Cricetulus griseus: one gene and its partner. The protein of the gene in region 1 purifies or fractionates together with the protein of each later gene. This does not show direct contact. Links are inferred from orthologs where the notes say so. Each region holds a gene or a part of one and is shown on either strand. Other genes may lie near its edges.

Evidence for each region.
Region 2: the proteins of Mideas (region 1) and Hdac2 purify together in Homo sapiens (affinity purification with mass spectrometry; 5 studies listed by BioGRID and IntAct, with this or other methods). This does not show direct contact. The link is inferred for Cricetulus griseus from reciprocal best matches to the Homo sapiens genes MIDEAS and HDAC2.

The regions. Positions count from the first base shown.
Region 1 is NC_048598.1:119,604,476-119,608,123, forward strand, and holds part of Mideas (mitotic deacetylase-associated SANT domain protein), read left to right. Parts: intron 1-394; coding exon 395-483; intron 484-2,388; coding exon 2,389-2,538; intron 2,539-3,570; coding exon 3,571-3,648.
Region 2 is NC_048595.1:259,855,876-259,859,523, forward strand, and holds part of Hdac2 (histone deacetylase 2), read left to right. Parts: intron 1-769; coding exon 770-862; intron 863-937; coding exon 938-1,046; intron 1,047-3,648. UniProt on the Homo sapiens protein: Histone deacetylase that catalyzes the deacetylation of lysine residues on the N-terminal part of the core histones (H2A, H2B, H3 and H4).

The sequences.
Region 1 (3,648 bases):
GAAGTGGGTAGGCAATCCATGCAAAAAAAAAAAAAAAAAAAAAAAGCCCAAGTCATGGGTACAAAGGTCGGAGACCTAGGGAGTGCAATCAACTGATTTCAGGTACCTGGAACTTAACCCTTGGAGTGCTTGTCTTAGTCCAGGCGCTGTATTGTAGCTACTGTTGTTGAGCCTCTATTAGGTCCATATTTGTCTGTACCAGTCAGAGTTTCAAAAGGTTGTTCCCACCTTCTTGGACCTGGGAAGACAGTTTCTGGTGTTCATTCCCGTTTGACAAGCAAGGGGAGTGAGGCTTCCTGAGGCTGGTAGATGTGGATGGCCTCAGAGTCATGCTCACAGAGCAAGTTCTTATGTTCCTGCCCGACTCACACCTGGTGCCCTCTTTACTCTTTAGGCTCTGATCACTGGAAGACAGCTGAGAGGAAGCTGTTCAACCAGGGCATCGCCATCTATAAGAAGGATTTCTTCCTGGTGCAGAAGCTGGTAAGCAGGGGCGAGCAAGGGGTCCTGTGGTCACTCAACAAGTGGCCTGATGGCAGGGTGCTTGCCTAGTGTATCTGAGTCACAGCCATCACTGCAGTTAGATCTCTGCCATCAAGTAGCTCCAGAGACAGCTTTGTAAAACCACAGCTTGCACAGATGATCCTCCGCTGACCTCTGAGCTCTCCAGACAGGACTTTAAGCCTAGATGTGGGTGAAGGGGGGTGGGGAGGGGCGGGCGGGTGCAGACTTGGGGGACATGTGGGAATGTATTGCTCAAACCAAATCCAGTGGTCAGATAGAGCTATGAAATGGGAGGGCAGCTGTCAGTCTGAGAGGACCACAGGGATGGTCTCATGGTCCTAGCATCACACCACATACTCTTCACGCATGAAAAAAACGGAAATTAGGAAGGTGAGTGACTTGCCTTAGGATGCACAGCCTTTTGGTGGCAGTTAGTAGCAAGGCTAGGAGGGCCTTCTGCTTCCTCTCTGGGTTTTCCCTGAGTCTTCCCCACATGACGTTTCTCTTCCTTACTTGGCACTGCTCCCTAGAGAGCAGTGAAACCATTCCCCAGATTGATGCAGGGAGTTTGCACTGCTGTACTGGGGCCGGCTTTGAATGTGGAAAGATGCCCAGGTGCTTCTCCATTTACTAAATGAGAAGAGAAGAGTAACTCCACATACGCCCATTAAAAATGCCTTGCTGAGGGCTGGAGAGATGGCTCAGCAGTTAAGAGCACTGACTGCTCTTCCAGAGGACCTGGGTTCAATTCCCAGCACCCACATGGCAGCTCACAACTGTCTGCAATTCCTGTTCCAGGGGACCCGACACCCACACACTGGCATAATAAATGCACGTAAAATAAATTTTTAAAAAGTGCCTTGCTGAGATTTACTGGTTTTACCGTTTATCCTGGTTTCTTTCTCCATCTGCATCTAAACACCCACCATGAAATACACACATCTCTCTATTCATTCTCTCTGTTTCAGCTAATCATTGAAAGTAAGCTATAACTGGGCTTGGGGCTGTCTAGGCCTATAATCACAGCTATTTGGGAAGCTGTGGTAGGAGGATTGCAAGTTCAAAGCCAGCTTGGGCTACTGAAGTGAGTTCAAGGCCAGCCTAGTTACCTTAATGAGACTTTGTATCAAAATTCAAAAAAAGGAGGTGGGGTAGGTTGGGAGTACTATTTAATGGTAGAGCATTTGCCTAGCTTGTTCAATCCCCAGTACAGGGCACAGGGGTTATATTCAAATAAAACTGTCCTAAGCATTGGCAAGCAGTGTAAACTGTATGTTGAGAGGCGTGGTTCAAGAATCACTTTACTTACTGTTTACATGTGAGAAAGCAGACATTGGGGTGGTGAGCCCCTTTTTACCTGAGGACTCCAGGAGGAGCCGTGTGCACCTCTGAGAAGTTGATGAGGGATAAGAAAGCTCAGTCAGTCATACCACAGGTGCAGATGCTGACCCAGCCAAGGCTGCTGAGCCCCTGCAGGTCTTGCTGGCCCAGTGCCGCTTCTCATGGCACAGCCCTCTGGTATCTAGTCCACGGTCGAATCTCCCCGGTAGTTTTGCTATTGTCCTTCATTGAAACGGTGCAGAAGCTTCCACTAATTACGCTGGTTGTGTAGCAGGCATTGAAATGGGGTTTGAGGTTTAGTTTTTTGTTTGTTTTTTTGTGACAGGGTTTCTCTGTGTAGCTTTGGAGCCTGTCCTGGAACTCCCTCTGTAGACCTTGAACTCACAGAGATCGGCCTGCCTCTGCCCCCTGAGGGCTGGGATTAAAGGGTCTGCCACCACCGCCCGCCCTTGGTTTTTTTGCCTAAGGCTAAGGGAAGTATGCAGAGATGAGAAAGGTGAGCCACTTCAGCCCCCTCTGACCTCCGTTTTGGCTTTAATTCAGATCCAGACCAAGACTGTGGCCCAGTGTGTGGAGTTCTACTATACCTACAAGAAACAGGTGAAAATTGGCCGCAATGGAACGCTCACCTTCGGCGACGTGGATACAAGGGATGAGAAGTCAGCCCAGGAAGAAGTTGAAGTGGATGTTAAGGTTAGTCCTTTCTCAGCCTCTGTTGCCTCAGACTGTAGCACCAGAAGCTTAAGGCCAGACAGACTCTCCTAGAGTTTATAGATGGTAGACAGGGGGAAACATGGTCCTGAACCTTTGAATTCTCCCATATCAGCTGCCGGGTCATAGTGATAAGTGCTGATGAGCGGCACCAGCTTCACCTTCCGGTCTCCTCAGAGCAAACCGCTGACGTCACTTCTGAGCTCTAGCCCTTCTTGCACCATGATCTCTGCTGTCTGTGCCCTAACACAAGCCACTACCACTAATTCTTTCATGTACCATACTACTTTCATTATTCATTTTTTGAGTCAACTCATTCTTTTTTTCTCAAAAGGGAAGCTTTATATTACAGTCATAAATAGATAACCAGTATTGTTTCCTATAAATAGAAGGTGCCGGGAAAGGCAAGTTCACATGAAAACCAAACACTGTTACTAAACGCCAGCTCCACGCTGTAATTGCCTGCCTGGCCTCTGAGGCACAGGGCCAACTTGTCTTTTACACAGATCACCAGGTCTAGGGAATCACTAACCCCGACCTCGTCCTTGACAGATGCTGTGATACTGTCTCTAAGTCACAAGGCCGTACTTGGTGGCATGCTACTTTGAGACCAGGGAGTAGTTTGGTCCCCATATTGCATATGGGAAGTAGAGATACAGAAAATGTCACAGATAGTTAAACGGGAGCTCAGTTCTCCTGCTTGGCACACTCTGAGGTCACCCTGCCCAAAGGGTGCCCAGAAGATTCCAGGCATCTCTCCAGGAGACCAGGTGGTTTGTGGGTGCTGGCATGCTCCCTCCCTAACCCTGGCTCTGTCTCTCCCCCCCCCCACCCCCCCCGAGGGCACCCAGGGTCAAGACTACTCTGTTTCTGGGCCAACTGGCCATGGGAATTCTAGTGTAAGAGGCTACCCTGGCCCAAGACAGGGCGGCGGGACCAGCAGGTGCTGTGGAGCCTTGGCTGGATTCAGAGTCTGCTCTCTGGAATGACTGAGCTCATGTTTGTCCCCCATAGACTTCTCAGAAGTTCCCAAGGGTGCCTCCTCCCAGAAGAGAGTCCCCAAGTGAAGAGAGACTGGAGCCTAAGAGGGAA
Region 2 (3,648 bases), on another chromosome or scaffold:
AGACTGGTGTCACAGTGGGAATGGACAGAGTGCTCTATAGCAGTGGGGTGCAGGATATCACACTGTCCTCAGATGGTTGTGGATTAGGGGAGGCCACACAGGGTCTTTATCCAGGATCAAGGGCACAGAGGACCACATAGACCCAGGGCTTCTTGGTAGGTTGTGTGGAAGACTGATTTTTGGGACCCTCACTGGGATTGTGGTCACAGGGCTCCAGGGTGGTGCAAAGGGTGCGGTTGGTATTGGCTCTGGAGACCTCCCTTACCAATGGTTCTGGGTCATAGGACACCTTTCAGTTTGAGAATGATGAAGTAAGTGGGGTCTGCCTTTACATCTTGTAAAATCATTTCATACCTAATCAGATTGAGGTTTGTAAGAACTTTTTACTTTGTTTTTGTGTGTTGGGAGTGATATGAGTATGGCACGTTAAAGGATACCATGCAAGAGTCAGTTCTCTCCTGCCATGTGGGTGGGTCCTGGGGATCAAACTCATTGAGCTTTACCTGCTCAGCCCTTCTGCCAGCCCAAGCTACAAGACTTGTGTTTTATTTGTATTAACTGAATGAATGATGCTGTTAAGTTTCTTCCCTAAAACTTGCTTTAGAGCTTAGGAAGTATGTCTACAAATACTGGATCATACACCTGTTTATTTTATTTTTTTTTTATTATTTCCTTTTTCAGATTTGTGTTGCTTGATCTTCTAATCATTTCAAACTAAGTCAAGTTTTTTGTTATGGAATAATCTCTTAAGATCTGTTTTTGTTTATAGGATATTGGTGCTGGAAAAGGAAAGTACTATGCTGTCAACTTTCCCATGAGAGATGGTATAGATGATGAGTCCTATGGACAAATTTTTAAGCCTGTAAGTACTGCTTTCAAAAGTAAAGTGGAGTTGTAAAATATCCTTAGATACTAATGTGTCTTGTTCTGAGTCTAGATAATCTCAAAAGTGATGGAGATGTACCAGCCTAGTGCTGTGGTGCTGCAGTGTGGTGCAGACTCACTGTCTGGTGATAGGCTTGGCTGCTTCAATCTCACTGTCAAAGGTAAGCGCTGCTTCCCACGAAAGTTCTCACTGTGGAGCGCTGAAGAGATGGTTAAGAACCTGGGTTCGATTCGCAGCTCCCACATGATGGCTCATGACCCAATGTTATTCCAGTTCCAGGGGATCTAGCACCCTCTTTGATTTCCACAGGCACCAGGCATCGCACATGGTGTACAACATACACATTTTTTAAAAAGTATTTTGAGAAAAAAAATTTAAGTTCTCATTGTTATTTTTTGCTTGCCAACTTGATGACTTGATGCCAAACTTTGTAGTTGTATGGGTTTTTTTGTTTTGGTTTTTTGGTTTTTTTGGTTTTTTGGTTTTTTTGGTTTTTTGGTTTTTTGAGACAGGGTTTCTCTGTGGCTTTTAGAGGCTATCCTGGAACTAGCTCTTGTAGACCAGGCTGGCCTCGAACTCACAAAGATCCACCTGCCTCTGCCTCCTGAGTGCTGGGACTAAAGGCGTGTGCCACCAACACCTGGTTTGTAGTTGTATTTTCAGTGGGTTTTTTGTTTTTGTTTTTTTCTATTTTTTTTCCCTTTTGTGGGGGGTGGGGTGGGGTTATGTGGCTGACTAGTAATCTTGTTTCCCAGCAAGTCCTTCCTGTGTTGCCATATTTGTGTTTATACATTTATCCATGAATAGTTAGTTGCCATCCTAACTGGCACAGGAGTTGTCAGTGTTTTTAATCCATTATATCAGTTTTAAATAATTTGTTTGCTGTTACAGTGATGAGGATTTGCTCTGATCTGCATGCTCTTCCCACATCTGTTCATAGCTGTAAGAATCTGGGCCATGGCCATTGCTAAACAGCAGCAGCACACCAGTCACTTTTTTGCTGACTTTTTTGTTTGCTTAGTTTCCTCTTTGCTCATTACTAAACTGAATTTGGAAATATATTCTGCTCAGCTGTATCAGGTGCTCCGTCCCTGACCTAAGAATGGTCCTCCTGTTTGAACTAAGTGTCCTCCTGGGTCTAGTGGGACATAGAGCCCTCTGCTTCTGTTTTACTACACCTCCCTGATCAGTGTGCTCTCCATTTCCCTCTTAGTTGTTACCTCTGGCAGAACACGTTTGTTTTGTTTTTGTTTTTTGAGACAGGGTTTCTTTGTGTAGCCCTGGCTGACCTGGAATTCTCTTTGTAGACCAGGCTGGCCTCCGCCTCCCACGTGGTAGGATTAAAGTTGTGAGCCACTACCACCTGGCTTAGAATAAACCTTTTTAAAGAACAAGCCTTCATAGTAAAGTTAATGTTTGGATCAGAAATGGCTTGTCATGCACATTGCATATATTGCAGTAAAGTCCTTTTTTTCCAAGTGAACTTTGCAGTAGCAATTAGCTTTAAATGAAGGCATCTTACTTTGAATTCTCTTATAAGATGTAAAGAATCCTAAAATAGCACTTTTAAAATAACTAAATATAGATGTTAACAACTACTTATGATTGCACTCTGCAGACCAGCCTTAGGACTGTGGTATAAGTCTGTTACCCTACTTCGCGTGTATTGAGTTGGCCACACAAAATTAGTTGCCCACTTTCTTGGTAGGTCAGCATTCAGTTAGCAGCACTGTCAAGTTGTTGCCTCAGAAGTGTTACTAACCATTTAGTGTCAAAGCAGATAGGAGTTCCCTGAAGTGACCTGTCTGATGTGCCCTTCTTTCTTGGTGCTAGCAACTTATACACTGCAATGAGCAGTAACCCCACTTCTAGTGTTTATATTTAAAAGTAGTAGTTTTCATTATAAACTGCATTTGACCCTTACAGTATATATATGTTGTGTTTCAGAAGGTAGAGGAAGTTCATTTGTGTAAAGCACATAAGGATGTTTGTAATTCCATTTTAAGACTTAGAATAAATGCACTTTCCTACGACTAGCCTCAGCTACATTCTCTCAGGCCTAGTGAAGTCAGCCACCTGATGTCCAACTTGCTCCACTTAATTGTTTTTTCCATGCTTCTTCCTCTTTGGGGTTCTAGCCTTCATTTTATAAAATCCCTTTATGGTTACTTGGCCTGGGCTGGGTGGTAGTATGGGATGCTGTTTTGCTGCTGTTCCTGTAGTCTGCATAGAAACTTCTGTCCTCACAAATGTCCACATGGTTCTATCAGAAACACTTGTTCCAGCAGGAGATGCCAGTTGACAATTACATGAAGGAAACAGTTAATTAAACATAAAAATAAACTTCCCTTAGTTAATGGTGATCTTTTTTCTTTATGTCATTTTAATTTTTTCCAAATTACTTTAAACTTTGTTATGAAAAGGTTACAAAAATCAACAAAGCATCACACACTGGAGTTAACCAGACCCCAAGACGGTAACTCACTGATGATCTATGCTGAGCGTTGCAGTGAAATATCCACCCCACACCTGTAGCGCTGACCACACTCAAACAGATGTGGTCACAGGTGCAGACATGATGGGTGGGTTTAGGTCTGGGGTCGGGACAGGTGGCTCTCTCTTGCTTCCGGTGGGGTCACAGAGGGCAGCCTGGAGCTGGAACTTGTGGCCATCACCACTTCTTGTATGAGTGCATTCTCCCTCTTATACAGTTACATTAGCCTATTTTGAGACTAGTCCTGTGAATCTTGATCCGTACATCC